3 linked regions of the Oryctolagus cuniculus genome follow. The protein of the gene in region 1 interacts with the protein of each later gene in a biochemical or structural test. Links are inferred from orthologs where the notes say so. Each region holds a gene or a part of one and is shown in the gene's direction. Other genes may lie near its edges. The genes, in order: COL1A1, SPARC and THBS1.

Region 1 (10,476 bases):
GCTGCGAGAGGGGGAGATGTGGGGTGGACTCCCTTCCCTGCCCTGCCCTCCTCCTCCCCCTCTCCGTTCCAACTCCCAAATTGGGGGCCGGGCCAGGCGGCTCTGATTGGCTGGGGGCCGGGCGGCCGGCTCCCCCTCTCCGATGGGCAGGGTTCCTCCCCGGGCTCCCTCAGGACGGTATAAAAGGGGCCCGGGCCAGGCGTCGGAGCAGACGGGAGTCTCTCCTCGGGGCCGGAGCAGGAGGCACGCGGAGTGAGGCCACGCATGAGCGGACGCTAACCCCCCACCCCAGCCGCAAAGAGTCTACATGTCTAGGGTCTAGACATGTTCAGCTTTGTGGACCTCCGGCTCCTGCTCCTCTTAGCGGCCACCGCCCTCCTGACGCACGGCCAGGAGGAAGGCCAAGTTGAGGGCCAAAGCGAAGACAGTAAGTCCCCAACTCCTGGGAGTCCCCGGCTTCGTGGACTCTCGCCCTGCGCTTGGTCCCGGAGGCTGCGGCTTAAACGCAGAGTCAGATGCTCCGGAGACGGGTCGATGGGGAGGGCGCTGGCGCCCTCGGCGCCCCGGGAGAGTGGGATTCACCCTGGGGTGGGGGTGGCAACGAATGTCTGCCCGGGAGCGGGAGGCAAGGATGGAGCGCGCCGGGCGCCGGCGCGGGAGGAAGTCCCGAGCGCGCCCCGCGGAGGGCTGAGGGGACAGCTGCGATCTAGGCGCGGGGCGAGGGACAAGCACGTCGAAGAAGGGCTGGGGGCTCCGCGCTGGGCACTTGGAGCCCGCGCCGTGGAAGCGGTCAGGAGGGCTGTGGGATGATTCATAAGGAAAGATTGTTTGTCCTCGCTGCAGGCGAGACCGTGTTCCTGGGGCCGCGGGGGAGGGGCCGCAGAGAGGGGGCGGGTCGGTGGCCGGGAAACTTGGGCGCGGACTTGGCAGGCGGGGTCCTGGCGCCCCTCACTGGTCGACGCCGAGCACTGGCGCGCCCCGTGCTGTGCTTCTCCGGCCGAGAGCCGGAGCGCCGAGACCTGGGTTGCTGTCGGGCGAGGACCCCACCTCTGTATCTGGACAGCAAAGCCGTGGATGGGTAGCCCTCGAAAAGAAGGGGCCTGTCCTGGGAAATCGGCCCCGCCCGGTCCCCATTGCTTGGTGTTGCCCGCCACCTGGTGGCCGTCTGGGTAGATGCTAGCGCGGTGGGCGTGGCTAACTAGTTTCATACTGTTTGCGGACTTTTGGGTTACTCGGCAAAGAAGTGATCCAGAGAGGCCCCGGCTGGCTTTAGGGGACTAGGCTAGCCCTGAGAGCTGACTCTTAAGAAGTCCGGGCGCTGACGGTTAGGGCGTATGCTATTTGAGGGACGCGGTTCAAGCCTCTGGGCGGGACCCGTCTCCAATAAGCCCCTCCCCGCTCTCCTAGCCCCTCCCACTCCGCCCCACCTGCCCCGGGAACGGGGGCGTGGTGGGGGCTGGGCCTCCCTCGTCTCCTCCCCACATCCCTTTTGGTCTCCACGTCCCCCCTGGCTGGGCCCCTCCCTTTCTCCGCCTTCCCGCCCCCCACGGCTTTGTGCGTCCCTGGGCTTCCGCGCCAATGGGCTGAGGCTGGGATTGGAAGCATCCCCGGCCCTAAGCTTTGTTTAAATTCCTGAGAACTGGAAAGAGTTACGGCCGCCCTGGCCCGGCGCCCCGGCGCTGTCACCGGCGCTGACGAGGAGCAGACGAGCAGTGAAGGATTTGGGGGAAGGGGGAGGGGGAGGCGGGACGTGGAAAGTGCGAGTGTGCTTCCAAGAGGGAACGGCCGGCCAGCCGAGGGTCTACGGCCGCTGACGCCCCTCCCCGCCCTGCCCCAGTCCCGCCAGTCACATGCGTGCAGAACGGCGTCCGGTACAGTGAAGGCGAAATATGGAAACCGCAGACCTGCCAGATCTGCGTGTGCCACAAGGGCGACGTCTTGTGCGATGACGTGATCTGTGAAGACACCAAGGACTGTCCCGGCGCGAAAGTGCTCCCCGGCGAGTGCTGCCCTGTCTGCCCCGAAGACGCGGGTACGGACGGGGCCCGGGGCTGGGGGCGGGGGCGGGGGCGGGGGCGGGGGCGCCGCAGGCAGAGCCGGCCTCTAACCCGCTCCTCTTCTCCCCTAGGAGCACCCACGGACCAGGAAACCACAGGAGTCGAGGTAAGCCTCTGCCCCCCGACTTTCGCCATCCCGCCCGTGACTCTTTGCTCCGCTCCCTTCTCTAACCTGCACCCGTGTCCCTTCTCCAACTCTATAGGGACCCAAGGGAGACACTGGCCCCCGAGGCCCACGGGTAAGTGCCGTCCTCCCTCGGCGGTGGGGCTGCAGGTGGGCGTGGCTCCCGGCCGTCGCTCACTCTGGCCCCGCCCTCGCCCCTGCAGGGACCCGCAGGCCCCCCTGGCCGCGATGGCATCCCTGGACAGCCCGGACTTCCCGGCCCCCCCGGCCCCCCTGGACCTCCCGGACCCCCCGGCCTCGGAGGAGTAAGTGCAGAATGGAAACACTGCATGTCCCTGTCCCCGCGTTGTTCCGTTGCTTTGGTGACATGACCACATTCTGGAATAGCCCCCAACTTAGAGAAAAGGTGCAAGAAAAGCGCCCAAAGCTTGCATATCCCCCGCACAGTCCCTCCATTTGCTGAACTGAGTCAGGTTTAGCTACCATTCACTTTGTGCTGAGCGGCTGGAGAGTGAGATGCTGATCCCACACTTCAGGTGTGTTTCCTGAGAGAGGAGCATTCCCTTACATGACCAGAGCACAGTGATTGAAACTGGGACATTGAATGCCATCAGCCAACAAACCAGTCCACATCCAACTTGCACCAATGTCCACGTAATGTCCCTTGTAGCTTTGATTTTTCCCTGATGCAGGATCCAATCCCAGGTCAGGAGTTGCCTTTCATTTGCCGTGTTGGTGTGGCGTCCATGAGTGTTCCTGGCCCTTGGGGACACTCAGAGCGTTTGAAGAGTCTGCACTGGTGCAGTCGCGCAGTCCGAGATGTCTGACCAGCTGCGTGTGGGGCAGGAAAGCACGGCTGTCCGTGTGTGCTGCTCTTGGCGATGTTTTCCGCCTCCCGATTTCTCATGCTCTCTCTGTCTCTCTCTCTCGTTTTTTCCAGAACTTTGCTCCCCAGATGTCTTACGGCTATGATGAGAAATCCGCTGGAGTCTCGGTGCCTGGCCCCATGGTGAGCCACCAGGGGGAGCACAGATGACAGAAGAGGAGCAGGCGGGGATCCAGAGGGGCTGGGCGGGTGTTGGCATGCGCCCCCCACTCACACCCCAGGGGGCGGCATAGACCAGCCGTGGGGCCCGGTGGTGCCCGCGGGAGTCAGTGGGAGCCGGCGAGGCTCCGCCCACGCTGCGTTTCCCTGCAGACTCGTGCCATGCCCCCCCTTTCTTTTCCCTCTGCAGGGTCCCTCTGGTCCTCGAGGACTTCCTGGCCCACCTGGCTCACCTGTAAGTATCCAGGAGGGCTTCATATACACCGTGGGCTCTGGGCTTCTGGGAGGAGGACTGGGATGAGGGCCAGGACCGCGCTCAGAGAGCTCTCGCTGAGACAGGGAAGCTAAGCAGTGACCTGCCCTTCTAACCCGCTCCTCTTTCCTTCTCCAGGGTCCCCAAGGTTTCCAAGGCCCCCCTGGCGAGCCTGGCGAGCCTGGAGCTTCTGTAAGCATCCCCGATGTGGATTCCCCGTCCTGTGGGAGGACCCCACGCACGCACTGGGGGTCTCCCTCCCTGCCTCTGAGGATCCTGACTGCCTTTCCTCCTCCCTCCTCTAGGGTCCCATGGGTCCCCGCGGTCCCCCTGGCGCCCCTGGCAAGAACGGAGATGACGTAAGTAGCACCGTGAGGAGGTACCGTCTGGCCCCATGGCCTCCACTGGCTGGGTCCCATAATCTCCACCCCAGAGCCCACACCACCTTTGCAGGTGACACCCAGAGGCAGGAGGGCATGTTCTCCCTGAAGCAAGGGGCTGCCCTTGAGCCCTTAGCGGATGACTTTCCCCACCCCCGGCCCAGGTTAAGCCTCAGGTGCACCTTAACTGCACCTGGTATGTAGATGGTGAGGCTAAAATGCTGGTGACGGACATGAGCAGTAGGTGCTTTGCGGGGTCTCAGATTTTGCACACGAGGCTTCCCTGGCAGATTGAACTTGAGCTCTAGACTCCAAGATAAGGTCTGGACCCATACACCTGACCTTCCTCCCCCTCTTCCCGACCTGAGATGCATGGCCCTGATGGCTTTTCCTCTCCCTCTCAGGGAGAAGCTGGAAAGCCCGGTCGTCCTGGCGAGCGTGGGCCTCCTGGGCCTCAGGTAAGCAGCGGCTGCAGCCACACTGGGTCTGCGTTAGGGAGCTGCATCCACAGTGGTCAGGCCTAACGTCCCTTCCTCCGCCTCCTTTTCTCCTCTCTCCAGGGTGCTCGGGGCTTGCCCGGAACAGCTGGCCTCCCTGGAATGAAAGGACACAGAGTAAGTTTCCTGTGAGGCATCTTCTACGCTCCCTAAGTCCCTTGCATCCATGGATCCAGCGCCTTCCCCAAGGGGTCCTGCTGTGAGACACAGTGGGCATCCAAAAGAGCTCCCCTCCACGAAAATGAAGGCCCAGAAAGGGACTGGCTGAGAACTTGTTCCCACGGGGTCTGGTCCACTGGAGATGGGCAGATGGGTGGGCAGGTTCAGGGTGGTCCCCAACCCCCCCCCCAACATCTGCAGAGTCTCATCTTGTCCCTCCTGCCTACTTTAGGGTTTCAGTGGTTTGGATGGTGCCAAGGGAGATGCTGGCCCTGCTGGTCCCAAGGTAAGGGTCTGTCCGAAGGTCACGGTCCCCCTCCCCTCCACAGCCCCACTGTGAATGAGTTCCTCACTCTGTTCTCTGTTCTGTAGGGTGAGCCTGGTAGCCCTGGTGAAAACGGAGCTCCTGGTCAGATGGTGAGTGAGCCAGCTTCTAAAGGGAAGGGAGCGAGCAGGTGCGGGGGGAGATGGAGGTGTGGGAGTCGGAATGGTGGTTTCCCGTCTCATTTGGTTTCTGTTGACTTGGTTTCCAGGGCCCCCGTGGTCTGCCTGGCGAGAGAGGCCGCCCTGGAGCCCCTGGCCCTGCTGTGAGTACTCCTGACCCCTGGCGGGTTGGGGGTGTCCCTGGGCTCTTGGAAAGACTTCCTCGGGAGCTGCAGGGACTGGTCTTCGCTCAGTGCATGTAACTGGGTCCCCTTCTTCTTGCAGGGTGCTCGTGGAAACGATGGTGCTACTGGTGCTGCCGGCCCCCCTGTGAGTATGGCCCCTTGACCTCAGTGGTGGGCGCAGGGTCACAGGGTCAGCTCTTGGTTGCTCTGAACCCCAGGATGTCCTCCGTCCCAGGGTGTAACTTGCAGCTGCCAGCTTCCTTCCTGCTAACATCTCCCTTTCATTCTCAGGGTCCCACTGGTCCCGCTGGTCCCCCTGGCTTCCCTGGAGCTGTCGGTGCTAAGGTGAGACCTTTGTCCTCCCCAGAGCATGACTGTCACAGGCCAAGGCGTCTCCCTGCTCCCCAAACCAGAGGGCTCCAGAGTGGCAGGAGGCAGAAAGCCATTCTGCAGCACCTTTGTCCCGGGGAGGCCAGCAGGTGCTTCTCTGATCTCAGAGTCCCTGCTCCTCGGCCTCCTGCCCTTGTGCCCGCCTGCCCACAGGTGAGACTGATCCCAGGCTGCCTCCTGACGTGTCTTTTCTTCTGCCCCAGGGTGAAGCTGGTCCCCAAGGAGCCCGAGGCTCTGAAGGTCCCCAGGGTGTGCGTGGTGAGCCCGGCCCCCCTGGCCCTGCTGGTGCTGCTGGCCCTGCTGTGAGTGTCTCCTCCCCAGAGGCCCCTGGGCCACTCCCCAACCTTGTGGATCCTTGTGGGTCCTCACTCTCCTTTCTCTGTGCCACAGGGAAACCCTGGTGCTGATGGACAACCTGGTGCTAAAGGTGCCAATGTGAGTATCCTACTGGGTGCGCCCATTCCCACCTGTCCCAGCCCTCTACTCCTGGGCTCCATGTCTGTTCTGCCTCCCACAGGGCGCTCCTGGTATTGCTGGTGCTCCTGGCTTCCCTGGTGCCCGAGGCCCCTCTGGACCCCAGGGCCCCAGCGGCCCCCCTGGTCCCAAGGGTAACAGTGTAAGTGCCAGCTTCTCACCTGTGCCCACCCCACCCGCGCCCATGCACCGGCTCCAGTGCAGCCCTGTCTGCTGGGTAGATGGTGACAACTGAGCGCCCTCCACCCTCCCCTCATCTCCTTCTCCTCTTCCCTTGCAGGGTGAACCTGGTGCCCCCGGCAACAAAGGAGACACTGGTGCCAAGGGAGAGCCCGTGAGTGCCTGCCTGCCTTGGGTGCTCTGGAGAGGGGCTCAGGGGCTGGCACCAGGGCGTCCCCTCACCAAGGCTGCCCCCTGCCTTCTGCCCACTCCAGGGCCCCACTGGTGTTCAAGGACCCCCTGGCCCTGCTGGCGAGGAAGGAAAGCGAGGAGCCCGAGGTGAACCCGGACCTACTGGCCTGCCCGGACCCCCTGGCGAGCGTGTATGTGCCCCACCCCGTATCGTCCCCAACCCCACCACCGCCTCCTTGCCCACCCCAGTGCCTGTCTGGGTCCGTTAGCTCACGGCCTGCTCTCCCCTCTGCAGGGTGGACCTGGCAGCCGTGGCTTCCCAGGTGCAGATGGCGTGGCTGGCCCCAAGGTAACCTGTGCTCCCTCGCTGGTCACCCCCCACCCCGCCACAGGCACAAGCGCTCCTGCGCGTGAGTGCAGCTGCAGGTGTTGGTGCCTCTTTCCCTTCCACTGGGCCTCACCTCTGCTATGCCTCCCACCCCGAAGCCCACCCAAGCCAGCGCCCACAGCCTTCCTTGTGTAAGGAGGAAGAGGCGCTGGCCATGGTCGCAATGCCCGCACTCAAGCCCCTCGTTTTCCTGTGACTTTTCCCAACCCAGGGTCCCGCTGGTGAACGTGGTGCTCCTGGCCCTGCTGGCCCCAAAGGCTCTCCTGGTGAAGCTGGTCGCCCCGGTGAAGCCGGCCTGCCTGGTGCCAAGGTGGGCCCCCAGCTCTGCCGCCCAACTTGGCCAGGCACCCCCTGGCCTGTTGGGGCATGGGTCTGGGATGAGGCTTTCTGGAGCAGGCCATGGGTCTGCTCCTGGGGCTACCCCCCACCATCCCCTTCTCCCCCTACTCACACTTCTGTTTTTCCCCCACACCCAGGGTCTCACTGGAAGCCCTGGCAGCCCTGGTCCTGATGGCAAAACTGGCCCCCCTGTAAGTATCCCTCCCCGTGAGCCCTCTCCCACCTTCCCGTCTGCCACCCCTGTCCCCATCTGACTTTGTGCCTCCCATCTTCAGGGTCCCGCTGGTCAAGACGGTCGCCCCGGACCCCCAGGCCCCCCTGGTGCCCGTGGTCAGGCTGGTGTGATGGGATTCCCTGGACCCAAAGGTGCCGCTGTGAGTATTGAGTAGGGAGCAACTCGGGGCTTGGGACAAGCACGCCTGGCCGGTGAGAGTCCCAGGCTCTGGCCCAGCCCTGCTGCTGACTTGCTGTGTGGCCTCACACTGCTCACTGCCCCTTCCTGGGCCTTGAGCACCTTATCAGTAAAATAAAGGACTTCCGGCTTCCCAGCCATTGCTCTGTGCCTGGAACTAAGTTTTGTGGGTGCCCCCGGCCCCACTCCCCAAATCTTGGAGGGTTTATTGAGGTTCAAAGAAGGCACCAATGGAGGAGAAACCCTTGGCAGCTGAGGCCACAGTGCGCACGGAGCAGGGGGAAGGGAGGAGGGAGGGTGGAGGGAGCAGGGCTTGCAAGGCCTCTGTGATTGTGGGGAGGGGCTGAGGGCCTCAGGCCTAAACTGCATGTGCACAGCCAACAGCCACCCGACTTTGGAGAAGGAGGTCCCTTTTAGAAACTCCTCCTCAGAGCAAGTAGGAGGCACCTGTGGGGCCTTCCGGTCTCCCTTCAGCCTCCTCAGCCTGCCCGCCCTTTCCTCCCCAGGGAGAGCCCGGCAAAGCTGGAGAGAGAGGCGTTCCTGGACCCCCTGGCGCTGTGGTAAGCAGCCCCTTCCTACCCCGCGCCCCTTCCTCCAGCTGCCCACTGGGCCTGCCACCCTGAGCACTCCCTTCCTGCCTCCCCACAGGGTCCTGCTGGCAAAGACGGAGAAGCTGGAGCTCAGGGACCCCCTGGACCTGCTGTAAGTGGCCCTGCCTGGGAGGCCTGAGGCGGCGCCCCCTGTCCCCTGCCCCGTCCGCCTTTCTGTGACCACAGCTGTCTCTCTGTGACAGGGCCCCGCTGGAGAGAGAGGTGAACAAGGCCCTGCTGGCTCCCCTGGATTCCAGGTGAGGCGGCAGTCAGGGAGCTGGGGGCTGGAGAAGGCGGGGACACCACTTTGTCCTCTCCAGATTCTGAAGCCCCTCCTCTTTCTCCCCCCACTGCTCACTTGCAGGGTCTCCCTGGCCCCGCTGGTCCTCCTGGGGAAGCAGGCAAACCTGGCGAACAGGTAAGAGGGAGCCGTTGGCCGAAAGGGTGTGTGGGCAAGGAAGGGAATGCAGAGGGCCAGGCACCTGCTGCAAGCTATTCAGACACTGTTGGGATGAAGGTTAGACACGGGGAGGGACTTCCTCGGAAAGGGAAACAGGAAGTGTCACGATGTGACCTGGGGTTGCAGAGCTGCCCGTCTGGGTGACTTTGAGGAGCTATAGGACGCTGTGGCTCCCCCTCCCCCTGGCCTGGGGAGGACAGCTCTCAGTGCAGAGTCGGAAGGAGTGGAAGGGCTGCGGGGCTGATTGTGCAAGGGCCAGCCCCAGAAGCAGGGACAAGAATCCATCCTGTGCCTAGGGCTCACTCTTTGGTCTTCCCTCTCCTTCAGGGTGTTCCTGGAGACCTTGGTGCCCCCGGCCCCTCTGGAGCACGAGTAAGTAGACGCTGTGCCCCTGCTCCCAGCCAGATGCCCTGTGGCTGTCTCTGAGCCTGGAGCAGCCGTCACGCCCTGACTTTCCCTTCTAGGGCGAGAGAGGCTTCCCTGGTGAGCGTGGCGTGCAAGGTCCTCCTGGTCCCGCTGGCCCCCGCGGATCCAACGGTGCTCCTGGCAACGATGGTGCTAAGGTGAGGGCAGCCCAGGGAGCAGAGCTCACCCCTCCTGTGGCAGGAGCATGATGGCCAGGGAGATGCTGGGGGAGCAGGTGGGGGGCTCCCAGGCAGCCCGAAGTCAGGGTTGTGAATCTTCCTTCTTCACCCAGGCCCAAGCCTGGGTGATTCCAAGAGGAAGCCCAGGACTGTGAGCCACTTCCGGGACCACCACCTCCACCCTGGCCTCATTGCAGTCTTCTTGGTTGTCACACAGGGTGATGCTGGTGCCCCTGGAGCTCCCGGTAGCCAAGGCGCCCCTGGCCTTCAGGGAATGCCCGGTGAACGTGGTGCAGCTGGTCTTCCAGGCCCCAAGGGTGACAGAGTAAGTACAGGAGCCCCCTCCAGCTCTCTCCCTGCTTTGGATCCTTCAGTGTCTTTCCATGGCTCCCTGGGACACTTCTCTCTTCTCCTTCCTCCTCCCTTCTCTGTCTTCTCCACTGTGGTCCAGGCCCTTCTCTCTAGGAGTTACCATGGTGATGAGAGGTGGAGCCAGCTCCTTGATGGAGCCCTCTATGCAAGACAGAGGCCTCTTAGCCTAGGTGTCAGCCGGCTCTCCGAGCAGGCACCTCTTCACCTGAAAATCCTTGGAACGGGGAAGATGAGACACAAGCAGGACACTTGCCACCCCTGGAAGTCTCAGGTCTCTCTTTGTCTTTAGGGCGATGCTGGTCCCAAAGGTGCTGATGGCTCTCCTGGCAAAGATGGCGTTCGCGGCCTGACTGGCCCCATTGGTCCTCCTGGCCCTGCTGGTGCCCCTGGTGACAAGGTAAGGTGGCTGCCTGCCTACACACAGCTTCTCCAGCGAGCTCTGCATTGGAGACGGGTCTGCCATATTGAGCTGGCGACCCAGGAAGCTGGAGGGACCAGAAGCGGGGGAGGCCGTTCTGGGGTCATCTGTCAGGAGTAAGTCAAGGTGGGCCCCCTGACCCTGAGCCTCTTGTCCTTCCCTCTCAGGGTGAAACTGGTCCCAGCGGCCCTGCTGGTCCCACTGGAGCTCGTGGTGCCCCTGTAAGTACAGAAGGCCTGGCCGATGCCCCCTCTGCTCCCTCCATCCTGCACCTGTTATCGTGGCATCTCTCCAATCTGCCTCTTTCCTTTTAGGGAGACCGTGGTGAGCCTGGTCCCCCCGGCCCTGCTGGCTTCGCCGGCCCCCCTGTGAGTACCAAGAGCCCATTCCTTCACAGTGAGTGACTGGATAAGGACAGGGAGTCGGCCTGAGTCGCGCCAGGCTCCTTGCTGCCTGCAGCTCCTGCTGCTCCCCAGCCCTGCACTCACCACTCTCACTCCTCCCCCAGGGTGCTGATGGCCAACCTGGTGCTAAAGGCGAGCCCGGTGACGCCGGTGCTAAAGGCGATGCTGGTC
Region 2 (10,476 bases), on another chromosome or scaffold:
TCCCACAATTGGTAAGTGGTAGAGGTGGCATTTGAACCTATACAAGCTGGCTCCAGAGCCCATGAGCTTATCTTTTTCCTGCAAACCTCTGCAAAAGCTTATGACACTCTGAGAACTATGGAAGCCACTAATCACATGTAGCTATTTATTTAACACTTAAATTCATTAAGTTGAACCACAACTTAAAATTCAGTCCTTCATTTGCATTGGCAACACTCCAAGTGTTCATAACCACATCTGGACAGCAGTGGCCATATTAGACAATGCAGATATAGAGTATTTTTATGAGCTCAGAAAGTTCTATTGAGTTGTATTGCTCCGTAAACTCTTTCATTCCCATCAGGGCCAGTGATTCCAGCTCAGATTCTGTGTTTCACATTCTAAGCATCAGTGATTCCAAGAACCACAATCTGAAATTATAGAATTCTGAGATTTCCCCCAGTTCTGACATTCGGTGGCTTTCAGTGTCCAGGGCGAGCCCGAAGGCGGCCCTGTATGTTCTGTGGGAGATGAACTGGGGGCTGGCTGTACTTTTCCATCCCCACAGTCTTTCCAAAGAAAGAGAAGTGACCTCAGCTTCGGGTCCTGCTGGCAGCCAGGGACGGGTTTTCAGCCATCTCCAGAGCAAATAAAGGCAAAAGGAAAGGACTCAAAGTACGGAACAGGAGGCGGCAGTGGTGAGGTGGGGGTAAGGGTGAGGGGTGTCTGTGTTTGGTGGCCACCCCGCCAAGGGAAATACACCTCCTCTTCCTCCCATGGCCCAGAGCAGTTTTCCTTCCAACACCTTGGGCAGTTCACAGCCCAACTGGGCTGCACTCAGGTGACCACCTCGGGAGGGAGTGGCTGCCAAGCGAAATAGTAAAATAGCATGTGCTGACATAGAGAACTTGCCAGTGGTGGAGGGAGCCCCATGGGGCCTCACCCCGGTCCTGCCACTTGTGCCCTGGGGCTATTAGCTGTGGGCAGATCCTACCTCCGTCTAAGTCTCAGTTTTCTCATCTGCGCTCTTAGGTGGAGAGACATGCCTGGAAGCTCTGATGGGACGCTTGACTATGAACACACTCTGGGAAGGGGAACCATATGCATTGTCATAGAAAGTTGCAAAGGAGGGGGTTCTCATTCAGTGCTGGCCACTTCGATCCAGGCGCTGGTGCACGTCTGGTTCCGGAGGATCACAGCTACTGCGTCTGAATGCTGCACCTCCCTGTTCTGGCCCTCTGCAGTGGTGGTCGCACCGTGCAAGCTTTGCACAATGGACACCGGCCTCTTTGGTCAGGGGTGTTTTAGAGAACCGCGGAGAGGTTCCTCATGGGTTACTCAGGGAGGATGGCTGTGCATCCAGATTAGCCCAGCTGCTTCCTTTCCCTGCATCCCCTCGTCTGGAGGAAAGGGTTCTGTTATGTAACATTGCCCAAATTTGGAAAACCACTCTCGGCCAAGGACTTGTGTTCTGTTTTTAATGGTCTTCCTCTCTGCGTTTCTCTCCCACCACACCCCAGTGTCTGAGCTCCGTCCCTGTTAGGCTCACCCCAAGTCCTTGAGAAGGGAGGCTTGTCCATTTGGGGTGGACCTGAATGCTCCTCCTCAGGGAAGCGGGACTCGGACCCTTCCACGCCTGTCTGCCTACATCCCAGTGTGGTCAGAAAGCTCTAGAGGGTCAGTGTGCATGAGAGAATGCTTTGGAAACCATGAAGCAATACCAGACTTGGAGCCAGGGATGGGATGGCAGACAGGGTGGGTGTGCAGCAGGAAGACGGCGAGGCAGGCCAGATGGAAGACTCAAGCAGCAAAACCCTTCCCTGGTCATGGCGGGAATGGGAGTCTGCTCAGGTGAGGGACGTGGGCTCAGGAACTGTCAATCCTCTTGGCTGTCTAACTGTGAAGCTTTTCACATCTCCACTCCTAGCCGGGCTCTCCCCCAAGGACGTGGCCTCGCTGGCATTACTGCCCAGATGGGGTGACTCTGTTCTAGCTGCCACTCTCACTTCGACCTTTCAACTTTAGTCTCAGACAAGGCCTTTGTTGATGTTTTCCCTCCTGTTGCATTCGTCCAAAGCCACATGCAGGAGCTGTTTTACTTGTGTCTTCCAAAAGGGGAAGCAAGGAAGAAGATTTTTTTTCCACTTATGTCTGGGGGAACAAGTGAGCAACTGTGTGTAGGGGAGGAATATTCCAGAAACTGCCTGGAAAGGGAATACTGGACTCCTCTGGGAGTTGGGGTTATCATGAAGCAGTGCCAAACCCCAAGGTCAATTCCTTTAAATTCCTGTTAGTTTTGTTTCATGCAGACTTCATGAAATGAGGGGTAAGATTTTGTGTCTCTAAATATTATAACCCAAGTGAAGATGGGCAGCACCCAAGGAACTGTGAAATGCCAAGGCCAGCATGTGCCTGTGACATTTCCAGAGTATTTTTAAGGTCGCAGTTTACCTAGTCTAACTTTCTCGGTTGATGGATGGGCAGTCAGATTCCCAACAGGATGAAGGACTTATACAGCAAGACAGTACTGAGGTAGAACAAGCCCTGGCACTGGATTCGAACATGAGTGTTTTTTCCTGGGGTACCTTCCACCACCATGCTTGGTCAGCTGAGAAATCTTGGGAACAACTAGGGATGATGAGCCTGATATGAGAGTTTTGGGACAACTCAAGAGGCAGAGGGAGTAGGTTTATTCTGTGTGACTACAGAAGAGGCGATGGGACTGGCTGGGACAGGTATAAGGGAGGCATATTTGGAACAGGATATAAGGGAGGAACTGTCTAAAGCCATTTGGACGTGGAAGGCCATTTAGTTAGTGCAAGAAGGAAAATGTCTCCACCACAGATTCTCTCTTAGGCTTGGCATCAGAGAAGAGTCTGCTCCAAGACCCCTTATAATCATGAGAGTCTAGAGAATACAGCCCAACATGCAGGAAACAAGGTTTTCATGTGGCCAAGGCAGAGGAGTTCTCTAGACCTCAGCTGACACACCCCTTCTGCAGCATAATGAAGGAAGCATCTGGGCAGTTTCCCTAGAGGGTCCAGAAAAGTGTTGTCCCTGCTGGAGAAAAACGTGACCATCCTCAGGTGTGCACAGGCCACACTGCAAGACTACTGCTGTTTGTTTCAGGAGGTGGATCTCGTTGTGTCACACTGGCAGGAGGTTGCTGCCTATTAGCTTCTCCCATTGCAGAAGGGGTAGGGAGGAGGAAGAAGAGCTTGAAGTGTAGGGGGAAAAACAATCTTCGAACACCAGGCATTCGAGGGCCCTTGAAGATGATCTAGTTTGGTGTGGCCTAAACTTGACAAATTAGTCCAGATTATTAATTAACTTCTATAAAATGTAAATAAATACATTGAGAAAGGGGATCTTATAGCATAACAATAAATGGAAAACTCTGGACCTTTGTCATAAGTAGAAGGAAGCTATAAAAATAAACAGAGAGGAAACTAAACAACTTCCTTGCATTCTGGCAGGATACGGTTTCCTGTCAGAGGCGCTGAGCCAGAGGCCTGCTTTCTCTTTGTTAAAAAAGCGAGAGATGTGTTAGAGAGATGTCAGGAGACTGCTCAGCACCCAACTCAGGCTTTCTGGATCACAGGAGTTCAAGGGAACCAACTGCCTCCCGTGTCTTTTCCACCATGTAACAGATGCCACCGGAAAGGATCTCGCAGATCACAGGAGTGCAGCGGGAACGCCGTCAGGAAACCTCCCGCCCGCTGACCTCTCTCTCTCTCTCTCCCTCCCGCAGGTTCCCAGCACCATGAAGGCCTGGATCTTCTTTCTCGTTTGCCTGGCTGGGAGGGCCTTAGCAGCCCCTGTAAGTACCGAAGCACTGGATCTTCTCAGTTGTACCTCCTACCCCCAGCCTCAGGTGCTCAGATGGGGTAGGACTTCTCCACCCCAAATTAGTTCTTATTTTTTAAAAAGAATTTTTCTTAAGCCAACAAGTTCAGGAGAAGAACTGAGATGAAGTGCAGTAAGTGGAGATTCCAGGGAAGAGAGAGCTCCTGGTAGGTGAAGATGAACTCAGCAGTGGCAGCTTCCTAGAAATGGACCAGGGTGGCTTTTGAAGGAAGTGACCTCATTGTCAGAGGCAGAATTCCATGAGGGCAAGAAGGATGCTGGCTGGGAGGATGCTCCCTGGAGTGGTGGTGTGGGGAGAGATACAGGGTGGATTACAGCTCAGAGGGCTTGGGGAGGGTTGGAAAGGGCAGCCCCGGCTCTGGGTGGCAGAGCCAACGGACAGTCTCCGAGACATTGCCAACGGAAAGCCTCAGTTCCGGCAGCTTTCACATCTTGACAGAATGTGCCAAGGAGAATTTAAAAAGTCAGCAAGAGCCATTTTGGTTGAACTTGGGTCATCCGCCTGCTTCTTGGCCTGGGGAGGGTGGGGCATTCATTGACTGACATAGTCCTTTGCAGAAGTCCAGGTTATCCAGAGCTCAGTCAAGAGCAGGAGGAAGAAATGGGGGGCAGGCAAACAGAGCAGTGTCTGTCAACCCAGGACTCTCTTCCGCAGAGGTGGGAGGGCAGGAGGCACTGGCGATCCTGATTGGTAGGTTTTGGCAAAGGTAGGCATTCATCTTAGCAGCAGCTCCAGCCAGCCAGGGACCTCAGCGTTAGATGTTGTCTCCCGCCTTCCTCCTGTAAGTTGAAATCCAAGAAGGAATTGCCCAACAGTAAGATCACATGGTGGGGAACGTAAGGGCATCACGGTGTGTGACCCCTCTGGTGTCGGGGTCCCCATCTGTAAAATGGGGGAGCTGGTCTGGATCAGTGTGTTTCCTGCCTTAGAGGAACTCGGAGCATCAGAAGCGCTTTTCCTGGCTAATTCTTAGACACCTTGGATGAAAAGTACATAACGGGCACGCTGCTCCCACTTGCCGTGACTTCTCCTTTGCCCCGTCCCCCATGCCAAGGCATTTGCTGAGGCACAGCCTTGGGTATCTCCAGTGAGCTGCTCTCCGAGCACCCCCAGCTGTGTTCCCGGCCTTGGCCCTGACCCCTCTGAACCCCACTTTCTCTTGCTCGCAGCAGCAGGAAGCCCTGCCTGATGAGACAGAGGTGGTAGAGGAGACCGTGGCTGAGGTGGCCGAGGTGGCTGAGGTACGTCTGCCCACATCTGCTCCCTCGGAAGCGCTGCTGGGGACCGCAGGTTCTGCATGCCGCCATGGGGCATCTGTTCCCGTCCTGTGCTCACACACAGCACAGGAGCGATCGCTGAGTACTCCCCAAATCCAGACACACTCCTGAACTCGGCCCAGACCGTCCGTGGAGCCCACGGTCCCCCACGTGGAAAGCAGATGAAGGGGGAGCTGCTCAGGTGCAGCTGCCATGGGTGGAGGCTGCACCTTCTACCTTCCCTTCGTGCTCTGACATCCAGCCGTGGTGTCCCCTGGGGCACTCAGTGGACTCCCAGGGCGCTATAAAACATGTGATATGGCTAATTAGGAATGTATCAATACACTGACAAATAATCATTATGAGACTAAACCCCTGGTGTGGGTGCTCCCTGTGCCCTGGGCCCAGCCCACCTTTCCAGCTGGTCTTCACCACCCCCGAAGTTCAGGCAAGTGCCCCTCTGGTCTCCACCTCCTTCTCCCAGGCCTGTGGTGGGGCAGTGTTTGATTCATTCTTTTCCCTCCTTCCCAGGTACCTGTGGGAGCCAACCCCGTGCAGGTGGAGGTAGGAGAATTTGAAGAAGTTGAGGAAACCGAAGAGGAAGTAGTGGCCGAAAGTAGGTCCTTTTCCTGTGGCGTGGCTGCCTGGGGCTGGGCCTGAGCCCCTGGGAGGCTCCTGCCCAAGGAAGTGAGGGAGGGGTGGGGTTCCCAGTGTGTTGTGGAGGAGAATGGCTTTGATTTAAAGGCTGGGGATCCACTGTGGCACTCAGTGCCCTGGAGGCTGGGGCCCATGTATTTGTAGCCAGGCCATCCGTGCTGAGTGGCAGGAAGGGAAGGTCCCCTCCTGGAAGTGGCCTCCTTCCCTCACAGCTCTCTGCCCGGATTGCAAAGTGGGAGTCCACCTTCCCGCCGAGGTCACTGGTCACTCCTGCGCACGGGATGCCCCGACCTCTCTCTCAGCACAGGCCCTGTGAAACAGCAGGTCTGAGGGTAGAGATCAGGACATTTCACGCACAGCTTATTCCTCAAGGAAGTGAAGAGTGGCAGAGCCCACGGCCTGCTCCCCGGGGAGCTGGTGCCAGAGGCAGAGGCAGGCGCCAGCACCCGTTCTGGGGCATTCCCACCCAGGCGTGGGCCTGGGAAGCTCGAAGCTAGGCTTCTCCGTGATAGCTTGCCTTGCTCCTCGGAGCTACAGCTTCCTCCCCTTCCTGGGGGAGTAGAGTCTTGCCGAGGGCTGTCAGCAGCAAGACAAGACAAAGCAGAGAGGTCCTGGCCTGGTGCTGGGCAGAGCAGGCACCCCCTCCGGGGGGATTAAAATGCCCAGAGGTGAGCATGATGGGGGAAAGGCGCATCCCGAGGCGGTGATGAGCGGGCGCCTGCACCCAGCTGGGCACTGCGTTTTAGTTGGAGCAGAGGGGTGTCTGCTGAGTCATGTTCCTTCCCTCCACGCCCACCCCATCCGGTGTTTACCAGATACAGCTGGGCTCCATTGTCTGTGTGCGCCTCCATGCTCTGCTCCCTCTTCCTTTACGGCCCCTTAAGGCTGTCTGGTTGGGCCTCACAGCTTCCTGGCTCCTTGACAACTTTCCAAGGCTTCCCAGAAGGCCCATTCTAGAGTCCAGAAATGGCTCCCTATGGTTGTTCAGCTGAGCTGGGAGCACAGTGGCAGCGTCAGCCCTCGGGGAGTCACACGGTGCCAGGTGTTCTGCGTCCCAGACTGAGCCGCCAGCTCCACAGAGGTGCCTGACTTGACCTCAGATGGAAACTCAGTTCCCAGAGAGGATCAGCTGCTCCCCTAAATGGCGAGTGCTAGGCCCAGGGAAGAGCAGGGCAGACTCGGGACCACCCAAAGCCCGGATCAGGGGCCACAGCCAAGCTTCATGTGCTCAGAGCACGGTTGGGATGTGCTTGGGGTGAACACGCAAGCCCCACGTGCGGCTAATCCTGTGCCCTCGCACCCTGCCAGACCCCTGCCAGAACCACCACTGCAAACACGGCAAGGTGTGTGAGCTGGATGAGAACAACACCCCCATGTGCGTGTGCCAGGACCCCACCAGCTGCCCTGCCCCCGTGGGCGAGTTTGAGAAGGTAAGCTCAGAATGCAGAGTGTCTCCCCACAAACCCGTGATGTGGTGGTCCACCCGGGCAGCTGCCAGTCCCCAAGTCCCCTCATTCGGTCTGGTCACAGCTGGGCAGGGGAGAGGGTCAGAGACGGCCCTGCCTGGCACTGGATCTCGCCAAGAACCAGCAGGAATTTCCTTGGCACCATCTGGTTGCAATCTCTGTGCCAGACTCCACAATCTCAGACCAGAAACCATCAACCAACAAGGACTGAGACAGGGAACCTCTCTACTTGGGTGCAGCTACACCAGGCATAGGGTCCAAAATGTGGGTCAGACCAAAGGTTGGCTCCAAACCTCGTCTCATCCCTTGTTAGCTGTGAGATCTTAGCTCAGTTACTAAACCTTTTTGGATCTTAGTTTTCTCCTGTTTAAAGAGGGGATGAAAATAGTTGTTAACTACTAGGGCTCCTACGGCGATCTGCCAGATACTGCCTGCTCCATATAAAGTACCCAGTAAGTGCTGCTGTTTAAAAATCTCTCAAGTCCATCCATTTTATCTCCAATAGGACCCATTCATCCATCCTCCACTCCCTCCTGGCACCTGGATTTTGACCACCCACTCTTGCCAGCCACAGTGTAGCTCACAGCAGTAAATCTGGTACCAGCGCTATTTGCATAACACCCTAGCTGGCTTCTCCATCTTTGTCTCTCCCTACGACAGCATACTTTATCTCTCCCTCTCATCTCTCCTCCCCTATCACACCTCGCATTGGTCTCCAAGGCCCAGCAGGTGCCCCTCTGCAGTGACATGTGACAACACTAAGAGCCTACATGCAGGATGTTCACTAAGGCTCCCCTCCGACACAGCTCTCACTGCCACCGCCCCCACTGAGCCCTCAGCATCTCTGTCTGGCTACTCGCACGCTCAGAGGTGTACCAGGAGGAGTCAGAAGACTTCACAGCCACGGTCCTGCTACAGTGACAGATTAAGGATAGGAAGCGAGGTCACAGGGAGAAAGCTCGGGCGCCTCCGTGAGGGGTCCCTTAGAGCACATTCTTACCCTACCTACAGAAAGGCAGCCACATGTGAGTGATGCTGCTGCCCTGGGAAGCCCATCAGAGACAGCTCCTGCAGTTTAGTGGGAGTCTGTCCCACAGGCACCCTGTGCTTATCATGTACCAAGATTCCAGACTCCTGGGAAGAAAGCGGATGTCCAATTGAAACCACAGCGTACAAGCTGTCTGGGCACAGTGAGCCTCCCTGTCAGGCGGGGAACGCTTTCCAACAGTGCAAGTAACCAGCTGTCTGCCAGCCAAGGGCCAACCTTGTGAGCAGACTCTCCAGGGACAGCAGTCCCCAGCCTGCTCTGTTTGCTCCTCTTTGCACACACTTGTCTTTTCCTGGCCCCCATCTTTCACTCATCCTTCCAGTATCTTCTAGGTTCCCATATCTCAGCCCTGTCTCAGTTGTGCCTCTGTTGGAGACCGTCCGTGAGTCTCAGCATGGTCTGGACATACACCTGGGAGCCCCCCAAATGGGTCCCTGTTGCAACGCCACTGATTCACTGTGTGACTTTGGGCTAATCACACTGCTTTCTTGGTCCCTTGTGTCCCCGACACTGAAATGGGCGAGGACAGGGAAGCCAGCCACGGGCTTCGGGAATGAGGAGGGGATGCTCTGTGCTTTGCCAACAGGTTTGCAGCAATGACAACAAGACCTTCGACTCCTCCTGCCACTTCTTTGCCACAAAGTGCACCCTGGAGGGCACCAAGAAGGGCCACAAACTCCACCTGGACTACATTGGGCCTTGCAAATGTGAGTGCTCCTGGGCCCTTCCAGACTCCTGTCCCAGAGAGCGCTCTGTACTGGAACCGGCGCAGGCTCTGCCGACCCCATGTTGTGTGGCCTTGAGTAAAGCTCTTCTCCTTTTAGAGCCTCCTGGAGTTCCCATTTATGGAGTTAGATGATTGTCTGAGGGCAGGTTCCTCTCAGGGCAAGGACTGAGCAACTGCGGAAGCACTCAGTAGCTTCCAACCGCACCTCTCGGATGAGGCAGTCCTTCTGGAAGGCTGACCTGAATCATTCCTGCTGCAATGATGTGAACCAAAAATGATGCCTGACACAGTCTTACAAAGTATTTTAACAATGTTTGGATACCAGTGCTCTGGGATAAGGCATGCCTGTCAGTTCCCCTTGGGCCCTACTGCTCAGAGTTGTCATATTCAGACTCATTCACTCCATTACATTCCTACCTGCCCTCACCTGGCCTCCTGGGAGGCAGGTGTTTGGCAAAAGGATGCTGGGATGCTGTCTGGTCTTCTGTGAGTGGTCCCAGCTATAAGTAAGCCTCAGGGACTTAGCACCCTCCCTATCCTTCAAGACACCCAAGCCCCCGCCAAGACAACATCCATACTCAGGGGGTCTGGTCCATTCTGGCACTGAGAGGAGCCATCACCTGCCCAGGTGTGCAGGTGTACAGAGTGGGGCAGAGGGACTAGAAATAAAGTTCTCCTTGTGGTCATGCCTGCTCTCCCAGTGATGGGGCCCAGGGCGTGAAAGGAGAAAGCAGACACTATGGGAGGAGGGCAGCGGGAGGAAAGGGTGCTAGCACATTCTCGGGCCGTGAGGTTAAGAATGTTCCCAGGAAGCTTTGCTGTCCCCCAGGCCTGCTGCCAGTTCTCCCTAACTTGCAGTGTTTCTATCCCAGATGTTCCCTTCCACTCCCCAGCGGAGGGTCAGGAAGGCAGTGGTCCCAGCCCACAGAGGGTGCTTTCTCTAGGCCCAGGGATGAGGGAGGAACAGGCTGAGCTCCCAGGCAACCACACTGGGCTGTGGCTCAGATAATGTGGCCTTGAACAGATCGCTTCTCTCCATGCTGACCTCTGAGTCAAATCAGAGGGCTGGACCTGGATGAAATCTCCCAGTCTGGTATTCTGAGATTGTAAATTCCAAAGACCAGGGTCTAGTCGCTACATCTAAGAAAGTTCTGGTGGCGAAGCAGCCCTGATTCCTCCATCCCCATCCTTGCAAAGCTGGGCCTGTGGACACCTGTTACTCCTCAGGCTCACAGCTTCAAGCATCTGTCACTGATCGATGGCACCAGCGCAGGCGCAGCCCCTGCTAGGATCCCCTCAGGGTCCACCCAGAGAGGTGCAGGAGCCTCAGGGCTGAGCCATGCCCCTCAGCGTGGAGCGGATCAAGGCTGAGGACGCAGCAGAAGTGCCTTTCCATTTGCACAGTGTTCTCTCGTCTCCCCACACAGTCTCCTTTATTTATTGTCCAGTAAGGAAGCTCTGGCCTGGAGGGTGGA
Region 3 (10,476 bases), on another chromosome or scaffold:
CCCTGTGCTCTTGCGCTTCTTGCTGCAGGCTCCCTGCTGGGCACAGACAGCTCCACCATGGGGCTGGCCTGGGGACTCAGTGTCCTGTTCCTGCTGCAGGTGTGTGGCAGCAACCACATTCCAGGTGAGTCTGTGCGACACCTCAGGGCAGGTGGAAGGAGAAGGCACTGGCTCTCCCTCCCAGCCGTCTCTCCCCTGAGCCCCAGCTGAGTATCAAGATGCAGCCTTGCTCTGATCGCGGTGTCCAGTCAGCTCTTTCAGTGGCTGCCCGTGCCTGTGGGCCGGCTGCCAGGGCTCAGCTCCCTCCCCCAGCCCCAGCCCCAGCCCCAGCCCCAGCCCCAGCCCCAGCCCCAGCCCCAGCCCCAGCCCTAGCCTAGAAAACTCACTGTTGTCCTTTCCTGTCCGGCAGAATCTGGGGGAGACAACAGCGTGTTTGACATCTTTGAACTCACCGGGGCTGCCCGCAAGGGCTCTGGGCGCCGGCTCGTGAAGGGTCCTGACCCTTCCAGCCCTGCTTACCGCATCGAAGATGCCAACCTGATCCCCCCGGTGCCTGACGACAAGTTCCAGGACCTAGTGGATGCTGTGCGCGCAGAGAAAGGTTTCCTCTTCCTGGCCTCCCTGAGGCAGATGAAGAAGACCCGGGGCACGCTGCTGGCTTTGGAGCGGAAAGACCACTCTGGCCAGGTCTTCAGCGTGGTCTCCAACGGCAAGGCGGGCACCCTGGACCTGAGCCTGACCGTGCAGGGGAAGCAGCATGTGGTGTCGGTGGAGGAAGCTCTGCTGGCGACCGGCCACTGGAAGAGCATCACCCTGTTTGTGCAGGAAGACAGGGCCCAGCTGTACATCGACTGCGAGAAGATGGAGAATGCTGAGCTGGACGTCCCCATCCAGAGCATCTTCACCAGGGACCTGGCCAACGTGGCCAGGCTCCGCATCGCCAAGGGAGGCGTTAATGACAACTTCCAGGTGAGGCCGCTTCTCTGCGCCCTGGTCCTGGGGCCGTCTGCTAGCCTGCTGACCTGTCGGGAGACCAAAGCCGCAGTTCCCATTCTAGAAGCATCACCTTCCCCGGAGGGCTGCTGTACCCCACTCCCAGAGTCCCCAGTTCAGTGCACTGGAATGGGTCTGAGAAGTTGCATTTCTAACAAGTGCCAGATAATGCTGAGGCTGAGATGGTAGTCGAGGAGCCACGGGTCAAAAACTCCCCAGGGAAGCCCATGATTTTGCTGTGACAGCCTGTTCAAGCCACAGGCACTCCTTAGGCTCTCAAGAAGACTAACCTCGAATGTGTCCCACCACTTTTAATACTGCTTCACGAGGGGCTTGCACGGCAGAATCAATAATCGCTTTGCTCTTGGATTCTTTGTAGGGGTTTGAGCCGGTCTCAGTCGAGAGGTTAAAATTGTGGTTATTTGCTGCTGCAGCTTCTTCCTGGCCTTAGCCCCTATGTTTGTGACTCTGGCTTTGAACTCCCACATTTAACTCTTTGACACTGGATAGTGTCATTGTATCCTCCAGGCTTTGTATCAGATTCCATTTCCTGTGTACCCAAGTAGGCAGATAACTGAATTCCTTGTCAAATACTGAAGACTTGGCAGGAGGCACAATTAAGATTTTGAAGTTGTTTGGCAATTTATGTTGGTGTGTTATTTTGATAGAGTGATCTTAAAACAGGACCCTTTGAAGCTTTGTGAATGATCTGTTGTGTGCTTCTCTTAGCACAGCCTTCCCATAGAGCCCCGGTCTCCACACTGTATATGTAATGTGTGTCTTCTGCCCACAGGGGGCACTGCAGAATGTGCGGTTTGTCTTTGGAACCACACCAGAAGACATCCTCAGGAACAAAGGCTGCTCCAGTGGTGAGTACCCCTCTCTCTTTAAGGCATATGGGGGAAATCAGGGCAGGTGGGAGTGGGAATCCCACCAAAAACAAACAGAAATTTAAGCATAGGTGATTGTGCATGAATTCTCCCCAGAGAACCCAGTTAAGAGGTGAAGTGACCTCAGTGGGCATTTGCACACACATGCATGTCCTCCACCTGTCTCCCTCCCTCCACATGAAATAAATGGCATTTACAACCAAGAACTGGGAGGGCTGGCTGGTAAGATCATCCATTTGAAGCTATCTTATTGCCTTGTTCATTTTGTGTGTTCGCTTCCCAGCATCCACCAATGTCCTTCTCACCCTTGACAACAATGTGGTGAACGGGTCCAGCCCTGCCATCCGCACTAACTACATTGGCCACAAGACAAAGGACCTGCAGGCCATCTGTGGCATCTCCTGTGATGAGCTGTCCAACATATTCCTGGAACTCAGGGGCCTGCGCACCATCGTGACCACGCTGCAGGACAGCATTCGCAAAGTGGTCAGTGGCCTGTAGCCTCCCCACCCACCCCTCAGCCTGTTCACACGAGCCCTGGAGGCCTTAGCACAGAGGACGCCTAGCGATGGAACATAAACCTAGACACTAACGATCTGTCTCCTCCTTTCAGACTGAAGAGAACAAAGAGCTGGCCAATGAGCTGAGGAAGCCTCCCCTCTGCTATCACAATGGGGTCCAGTACAGGAATAACGAGGAATGGACCGTGGACAGCTGCACTGAGTGTCGCTGTCAGGTGAGGGCTCTTCACACACTAACATAAACCAAGGCTCGCCACCACGTGTTTGAAGCTGCAGTCCCTGGGCAAATACTCAGACGACCACATAATTCTTTTCATGTTCCCAAACCAGGTACCAAATTCTCATTTAGACTCGCAGAAGGTTTGTCCAAGTCCTAATTATACCCCAGGCTAAGTATTTCAGGGAAAAAAAAAATCTGCTGAGACATCTGAATCATTTACCTGCTTCAGTTCAAAGGCTAAGTGTTGAATGTCGGGTGATTAAAGCCTGGTTGGGACGTTCCTTCTTCGTCCCCTCCCCCCGACTGGTATTCAGCTGTGGCACAGAGGTTCTTTCACCACAGTACCGGTTGTTGCTGGAGTCACTTAGCCCCATATTGTTAGGATGCCCCTGTATTCTTAGCTCGGATTGCATTGCCTGCTACCCCCACACCACTGGCAGAGGAGCAAGGAGGTTTTCCTGGCTCATGGAGCAAAGTCAGGCTTTAATACAAATCACAGATGACTGAATTTGGAAGCCAACTTCATTACATTTCCATTCTCTTCCAATACGATAAATCCAGATTTATAAATGCAAAAAAAAAAAAAACGGGGGAGAGATGTGCTTATAGGTCTTTTTTTTCCCCCTACAAAAAAGCAAACTTAACCATTTCAAAGTTCTGGCTGAGTTTTGTCAGCTCAGTTTCAAACACGAGTTTGAGAACGATATTTATTGGTTCTGCTTATAGAAGTTCTTCATGCTGTAACTTCTACCTTTGAGTAGCAGTTAAAAAGGGCTCTCCAAGGAATTAAATGACAAATAACTAGCACTGCAACTGTCTCCCTGAGAGTCGGGACCTCTGCTACACAGATCTTCTATCAAAACCATTCCACGAGAGCATTTACAGCCATGACCACGTTCTGGCTTATCATGGAAATGTGACACTGCGTGAACTTGGGTTTGCAACATGCGAGGTAATCCATTTCTCTGTCACTCTGTTGCTTTGTAGAACTCAGTCACCATCTGCAAAAAGGTGTCCTGCCCCATTATGCCCTGCTCCAATGCCACAGTTCCTGATGGAGAATGCTGCCCGCGGTGTTGGCGTAAGTTCCCCAAATGGCATAAGCCCTCTTTAGCCAGCGACTAGGTCAGTCGTAATACATCCTGGACAGCAGAGCACAACATTGGACCTCACCCTCATCGCCCTCATATGTGTTTATTCTGTTTCTTGCTGCAGCAGCTGGTTAACTGATAGCTTATCTGCTGTGCGGCACCAAAATCTTCATTTATGACTAAATATTATCACCCATCTGGATTATAGTATAGGCAGTAAGAATCTCGGAATGGCTGTTGGCTCTGATTTTATGCTTTGAGGAAAGGAGATGAATATGCCACCTCCATAGCCCTAAGTTGGCTGTTTTTAGCATTTTTTCTTAGAGGAGGTACAGAGTTAAGAAAAATCTGCTTACCAAAGAAATCAATAGGCTTATGGTATGAGTGTTAGACTGAATTGAGCCTGAAAATTCTCGTTGACAGAGGAGAACTAAGAGAATAGTGTCAGTTTGAGTGCTAAGGCCCTGTGTTGTTCCAGGCCCCCTCTCCTTGGTTTTTGGTTGCCAGTATACATTAACTGCTTTCCTTAGACAGTGTTTAGGTACAGATCATAGACATGAGTCATCACAACTACGATAAGAAAGCAGGAAAGTAGTATTTGCCCTTCATACACACACCCACACACATACACACACCCCTGTACACACTGGCCATGGCTTGGACTAATCAGTATTGGCACTGGACTGACCACTTGTATATCAGTTTCTGGTCAACATTCACTTGAAGGGTGTTTTTCAAGGGAACAAAGCTGCTGGAGGCTAGCAGAGTTCTGAACTTGAATCGGAGGTTGCTAGGAAAATTTCCAACTGATGGCAAAAGAAAACAAGCTCTCTGTCGTGTCTGATACAGCTAGATGTGATTGTAGTCATGGTGCTCAGGCAGATGGTAAACAAACACATTCTCCTTTCATGCAAATATGTGCAGAAAATACCCCCAGATGCTGGGATGAGAGGAACACCAAACTGACTAACCTCATGACCGAGTTGGAGCCAGAGCTGACAGCAGCTAAGCCGCCTTCAGGCTCATCTGTCAAGCACATGGTCCACAGCTTCCCTGACAATCAGAAACAGCTAAAGCTCCACATGCCTAAAACTCGAGCATTCTTGGAAGCCTAAGCCTGGAAATGCCTGTCCACATATCTTAAGTCAGCAATAGGAAATTCATTTGAAATGAGAAAGGAGAAAGGAGGAAGCAATGAATAGGCAAGCAGAGGCTGGGAGAAGGCTCAGCTGTACAGACCCAGGCAACACATCCTGTCACCCCCAGTGCTATACACACAGCCACCTGGGGTAACCAAAACTTTGTAACCTTTGATACTAAGTTCTGCAGATCTCATCTACAGCATGTAATAATATTGTATTATGTACTTGACATTTGCCAAGAGACTAGATCTGAAATCATTACCAAGAGAAAAAGGAAAAGAAAGAAGGTAACTTTATGGAGTCATAGATAAGTTTATTAACTACTAGCTTGACAGTGATATTCAAAAGGCAGATGCAGACCACAGCACCAGTTGTACACCTTAACTTTATATGATTGTTGTCCGTTATACCTCAGTAGACCTTGAAGAGAAATGTATTGCTTTTTACTCTCTAGCAAGTGAAGGGCTGTGAGCAGAGCCATCTAAAGAATAGCTTGCCTTCATCACTATGTACTGAACGGCCTGTTCTCCCTGCAGCCAGTGACTCAGCAGATGATGGCTGGTCTCCGTGGTCTGAGTGGACCTCTTGCTCTGTGACATGTGGCAATGGAATTCAGCAGCGTGGCCGCTCCTGTGACAGCCTCAACAACCGATGCGAGGGCTCCTCGGTCCAGACGCGGACCTGCCACATCCAGGAATGTGACAAGAGATGTAAGCATCTTGACCTCTTAGAGATACAGAGAACTGACCTGTCCTTATTGTCACCACTCACAGCAGCTCTGCAGCAGGTTCTAGAATCTCTGACCCCGAATCCCTTCTCCCACATACTGTGCACCTTTGAGCACAACTTGCCCTCTCTGTGACTTTCCTTATCTGGAACTTGGGGACAGTAAGTTCTTGATAAGGTTATTTTGAGCTTTTTATTTAGATGACACCTATAAAGCACTCAACATGGAACTTTGTTCATGGTTAACACCTGGTAAATACTGCATTATTAATAACAACCCATAAAGACAGCTAAAATATTACATGTACTTCTGACATTCCATGCTGGCGTTAGGACACATGGCCAAGAGCCAATTTCTGCTACACATGGTGCAGTTGCCATTGGAAATATTTCTGTATGATCCCGAGACAGACCTCTATTTGGCTACCAAACCAATACCATCAGTGACCATCCGCTTTGTACTTCAGTTAAACAGGACGGCGGCTGGAGCCACTGGTCCCCGTGGTCATCCTGTTCTGTGACATGTGGAGATGGTGTGATCACAAGGATCCGGCTCTGCAACTCTCCCAGCCCCCAGATGAATGGGAAACCATGTGAAGGCGAAGCTCGGGAGACCAAGGCCTGCAAGAAAGATGCCTGCCCCAGTAAGTGTGAGCTCAGCCGCAGGGCAGTGTGGGCGGCAGCTCTGCCCAGCTGGTTGCCTGGCATCTGCAGCCTCCAGTTCAGTGGGTCATGGAGAGGGAAGGTTACTTACTAGATAAACAAACAGAAGAAAAGACCTGCAGTGCTCAGCAGCTTCTTTTAATGAAAAGCAGAGAGGAGACTATTTCAAACTAGCCCTCCTCCCAGATAATCTCTCCCATGTCAGGGAAGCAGCGATTTCTTGAATAAGCTTAGGAGAGTCTCGTATGACGGTGACAGATTTGAACAGCGACCTTAATTTTTACATGGAACTCATTTTCTTACAGTCAATGGCGGCTGGGGTCCTTGGTCTCCATGGGACATCTGTTCTGTCACCTGTGGAGGAGGGGTGCAGAAACGAAGCCGGCTCTGCAACAACCCCGTGCCCCAGTTTGGAGGCAAGGACTGCGTTGGTGATGTGACAGAAAACCAGATCTGCAACAAGCAGGACTGTCCAATCGGTGAGCCATGCAGCCCAGCGCAAAGATCCCCCTAGGAGCTTCCTGCTTTACTGAACGCCACAGCCCGCATTTATGACCCTTTTAGCTACAGACACCCTACAGTATCTTAACACTGGGTGCCTTTTGAAGTGCCCAGCATGGCAGGAACAGCAGCCCAGACCAACCATTAACCTGTCTCTCTCATCTCGTCTCAGATGGATGTCTGTCCAATCCCTGCTTTGCCGGTGTCAAGTGTACTAGCTACCCTGACGGCAGCTGGAAATGCGGTGCTTGTCCCCCTGGGTATAGTGGCAATGGCATCCAGTGCAAAGATGTCGATGAGGTGAGGAACTGATGGCTCTGAGTTAGGAGACCCAGGACAGCAGTGAACCTGTCCTAGCCGTGTCCTTATGGTTGCATTTTCTAAACATTAAGCAAACTTTCATCTACTCCACAGTGCAAAGAAGTGCCTGACGCCTGCTTCAACCACAACGGGGAGCACAGGTGTAAGAACACAGACCCTGGCTACAACTGCCTGCCCTGCCCTCCACGCTACACTGGCACGCAGCCTTTCGGAAGGGGTGTTGAACATGCCATGGCCCACAAACAGGTACAGTTGGCTAGGCTGGTACTCCAGAGTAGAGAAGAGCTGTCCTTGACTGAAACAACTAGGAGAGGGAGGACTGTCATTTTATACCCTGCACTAAGAGAGAGGAGAGGAAGAAATGTACAGTCTAGTTTCAGAAGCATGACTAGAAAACCTATAGTAACTCCTGCAGGGGAAAAGTAGTCACATTTTAAAATGCTGCTCTGGAATAAGTTGTAAGTAAATGAACCTGTAAATGCCAAAGTGCTAAGCAATTTCAAGAAACATAAATGTACAGCAAAGCTTGTTTGTAGCCTGGTCGTCCTTGCGGGCAGAATGGGGAATTAATCCACACTCCTCCAGTTGCAGCCTCTGACAGGGAGCCAACCAGGATCTTGATGTTACTTGTTTCTGTGTTGTCTGGGAACTTTGGAAGGCTCTGTGTTAACATCAGGATGGTATATCCTCAGGTGTGCAAACCACGCAACCCCTGCACAGATGGGACACATGACTGCAACAAGAATGCCAAGTGTAACTACCTGGGCCACTACAGTGACCCCATGTACCGGTGTGAGTGCAAGCCTGGCTATGCTGGCAATGGCATCATCTGTGGGGAGGACACAGACCTCGATGGCTGGCCTAATGAGAACCTGGTGTGTGTGGCCAACGCAACTTACCACTGCAAAAAGGTACAGCCATCTTCCTACGTGTGCCTATCACCTGTAGCAGCAGAGTATGCCAGGGACTTTTAAATGCTAACAACTCAAAAACGAAACTGAAAGATGAAATTTTCCAAAGGAAGAGGACAGTAATCCACAAATGTTGAGTCCTTTGGTGCCAAGAACACAAACAGGGCAGGCTGTGTTGGCATGTTGTGGTGCATGATGATTCTTTGGTCCAAAAGAAGGCTCACTCCCCTACCAAGTTCCATGAGATCATGCCTTGTGTTCACAGCATGTGTAAAGCCTAGAGCATGTATACGCATTCTGTATGTGCAACCCCCAAGAAGGCATCTGGTTGCCGTCACAGAACAGCAGTCCGTTCTTTTTTGGTTCAGAATGTCCCAGTGCTCCGTCCCACCCCATGCATGATCCATGAGCTGAGCAGAGAAACTACAATCTACAGCTGTAATGTGCATCTTCTCTTTCCTAGGATAACTGCCCCAACCTCCCCAACTCGGGGCAGGAAGACTATGACAAGGATGGAATCGGAGATGCCTGTGATGATGACGATGACAATGACAAAATCCCAGATGATAGGGTAAAAACAAAATATGTGCCATCCCGTTGCTTCTCTTCAACTTTGCAACAATGTGAAATATTTCAGGATTCAAGGAACTTATGGAATTATAGGAAGAATTATGCCAAGTTGATACATAGGATAATTAGAAATTATTTATTGTAGTTTAGTAGCTTGAGGAGACATAAATGTTGCCAGGAGAATTTTTAAAGGAGGGTTTTGTTATCCATCACAAAATTTTCCCCCCTTTGAGAGAAATTAGAATGAGTCACCAGTGACCCTTTGATCCCCAGATTTAACAGTCATGTCTCAGTTACAGTCAAGTTCACTTTGGGCATCTGGAGACCTGAGATAATGAGATGACATGTTACCTCTTAATTGATTTGTAGCCAATAGAAACCATTTTCCATTCATTATGTCCTGGCTTTTAACTTGTATGGTGATCGTTTTACACGGAGTACTCAATACATCCACCAAGTAGAAAATAATCACTGCAAATTTTTTTGCAGTTCTCTGCATACTGTGCATGTGGTCTGAACCCTGAGCTGGTTCCACAGCAGCGTGCTAAAGTGCTCCCTTTCTTCTTTCTGTAGGACAACTGTCCGTTCCATTACAACCCAGCCCAGTATGACTATGACCGAGATGATGTGGGTGACCGCTGTGACAACTGCCCCTACAACCACAATCCAGACCAGGCAGACACAGACAACAACGGGGAAGGAGATGCCTGTGCTGCAGACATTGATGGGGATGGTAAGGCACTGCCTAGCCTAGCAGACCCCTGGGCAGTGGGAAGCACCCACAGATTTCAGCTCACTTCTCCCTAGGCCTGGCCAGTATGATGTGGTATGGCTGAAACAACCAAGGCTGGAGATACCAGCTCTGATTTGTCCCCTGTTCCTTGCAGGTATACTCAATGAACGAGACAACTGCCAGTATGTCTACAATGTGGACCAGAGGGACACTGACATGGATGGGGTTGGAGATCAGTGTGACAACTGCCCCCTGGAACACAATCCCGATCAGGTAGGTGGATTCCTATTAGAGTCTTTCAGTCAGGTCTGCAAACTTCACTAGCTAGGTCTTCACAAAGTGAGTTTAATGGAGTCTAAAAACTTTCATCATGGTGTCCTCAAAGCCAGCTGCACCAAGTTCATGTACACAGTTTGTCTGATGTGACCATCTTACAGAGTCTCATGTATCTTTAATGTACAGATCTTCTCCGACTTCTCAGACAGTCCACTTGATTTGCTGTGACCTACCATTGTTGAGATAAGTTAGCTAAAACAGAGATCTGAGACTGATAATTCTATCATACTACTAATCATGTCTGAGACTAAGAGTGTTTTAAGTATATTCTTCACATACGTTTTATAATTTCACCTTGAAGAAAACAACCCATAACCATGTCCATGGCTAACTATATAATCTGGCTGTGAGAAAGTCGTCAGACTAGAAGAGGTTCCAAAACCTGGGAAACCCCATTTCTTTGTTATTCTTCCACAGCATCTGGTATTACCAGATTATACCCAGAGAATATATAGTTTTAAAAAAACTCAAATATCCCTTCTGAGATTTTCATGTAAAACCAAGGATCAAGGGGAAAAAAAAAACTTTCAAAATGTAATCACTAACATTGCTTTCTGGAAAAGTATTTCTATAACACCCCACTGGCCAGATGAGACATGGGGGATTTTCCCTGTTGTGGGGGCATTGATGTTCTCGTTGTCACTGCTGATTGATACGGTGGCTTACTCTCCATGTATGTCTCTTTCTCAGCTGGACTCTGACTCGGATCGCATTGGAGACACCTGTGACAACAATCAGGATATTGATGAAGATGGCCACCAGAACAATTTGGACAACTGTCCCTATGTGCCCAATGCCAACCAGGCTGACCACGATAAAGATGGCAAGGGGGACGCCTGTGACCATGATGATGACAAT

The links.
Region 2: the proteins of COL1A1 (region 1) and SPARC form a complex in vitro, tested with the Homo sapiens proteins (2 studies listed by BioGRID). The link is inferred for Oryctolagus cuniculus from reciprocal best matches to the Homo sapiens genes COL1A1 and SPARC.
Region 3: the proteins of COL1A1 (region 1) and THBS1 form a complex in vitro, tested with the Homo sapiens proteins (2 studies listed by BioGRID). The link is inferred for Oryctolagus cuniculus from reciprocal best matches to the Homo sapiens genes COL1A1 and THBS1.

The regions. Positions count from the first base shown.
Region 1 is NC_091448.1:26,151,903-26,162,378, reverse strand, and holds the start of COL1A1 (collagen alpha-1(I) chain), read left to right. Parts: upstream 1-187; 5' UTR 188-324; coding exon 325-427; intron 428-1,837; coding exon 1,838-2,032; intron 2,033-2,128; coding exon 2,129-2,163; intron 2,164-2,260; coding exon 2,261-2,296; intron 2,297-2,384; coding exon 2,385-2,486; intron 2,487-3,121; coding exon 3,122-3,190; intron 3,191-3,416; coding exon 3,417-3,461; intron 3,462-3,617; coding exon 3,618-3,671; intron 3,672-3,784; coding exon 3,785-3,838; intron 3,839-4,263; coding exon 4,264-4,317; intron 4,318-4,419; coding exon 4,420-4,473; intron 4,474-4,747; coding exon 4,748-4,801; intron 4,802-4,887; coding exon 4,888-4,932; intron 4,933-5,048; coding exon 5,049-5,102; intron 5,103-5,223; coding exon 5,224-5,268; intron 5,269-5,414; coding exon 5,415-5,468; intron 5,469-5,716; coding exon 5,717-5,815; intron 5,816-5,903; coding exon 5,904-5,948; intron 5,949-6,030; coding exon 6,031-6,129; intron 6,130-6,267; and 33 more. UniProt on the Homo sapiens protein: Type I collagen is a member of group I collagen (fibrillar forming collagen).
Region 2 is NC_091437.1:38,654,040-38,664,515, reverse strand, and holds part of SPARC (SPARC), read left to right. Parts: intron 1-3,730; coding exon 3,731-3,799; intron 3,800-5,016; coding exon 5,017-5,088; intron 5,089-5,634; coding exon 5,635-5,719; intron 5,720-7,068; coding exon 7,069-7,190; intron 7,191-8,860; coding exon 8,861-8,981; intron 8,982-10,476.
Region 3 is NC_091443.1:62,646,767-62,657,242, forward strand, and holds part of THBS1 (thrombospondin-1), read left to right. Parts: intron 1-28; 5' UTR 29-57; coding exon 58-124; intron 125-409; coding exon 410-969; intron 970-1,786; coding exon 1,787-1,862; intron 1,863-2,166; coding exon 2,167-2,369; intron 2,370-2,496; coding exon 2,497-2,619; intron 2,620-3,611; coding exon 3,612-3,705; intron 3,706-5,393; coding exon 5,394-5,567; intron 5,568-6,050; coding exon 6,051-6,227; intron 6,228-6,551; coding exon 6,552-6,725; intron 6,726-6,919; coding exon 6,920-7,047; intron 7,048-7,161; coding exon 7,162-7,314; intron 7,315-7,760; coding exon 7,761-7,979; intron 7,980-8,442; coding exon 8,443-8,550; intron 8,551-9,122; coding exon 9,123-9,282; intron 9,283-9,436; coding exon 9,437-9,555; intron 9,556-10,308; coding exon 10,309-10,476. UniProt on the Homo sapiens protein: Adhesive glycoprotein that mediates cell-to-cell and cell-to-matrix interactions.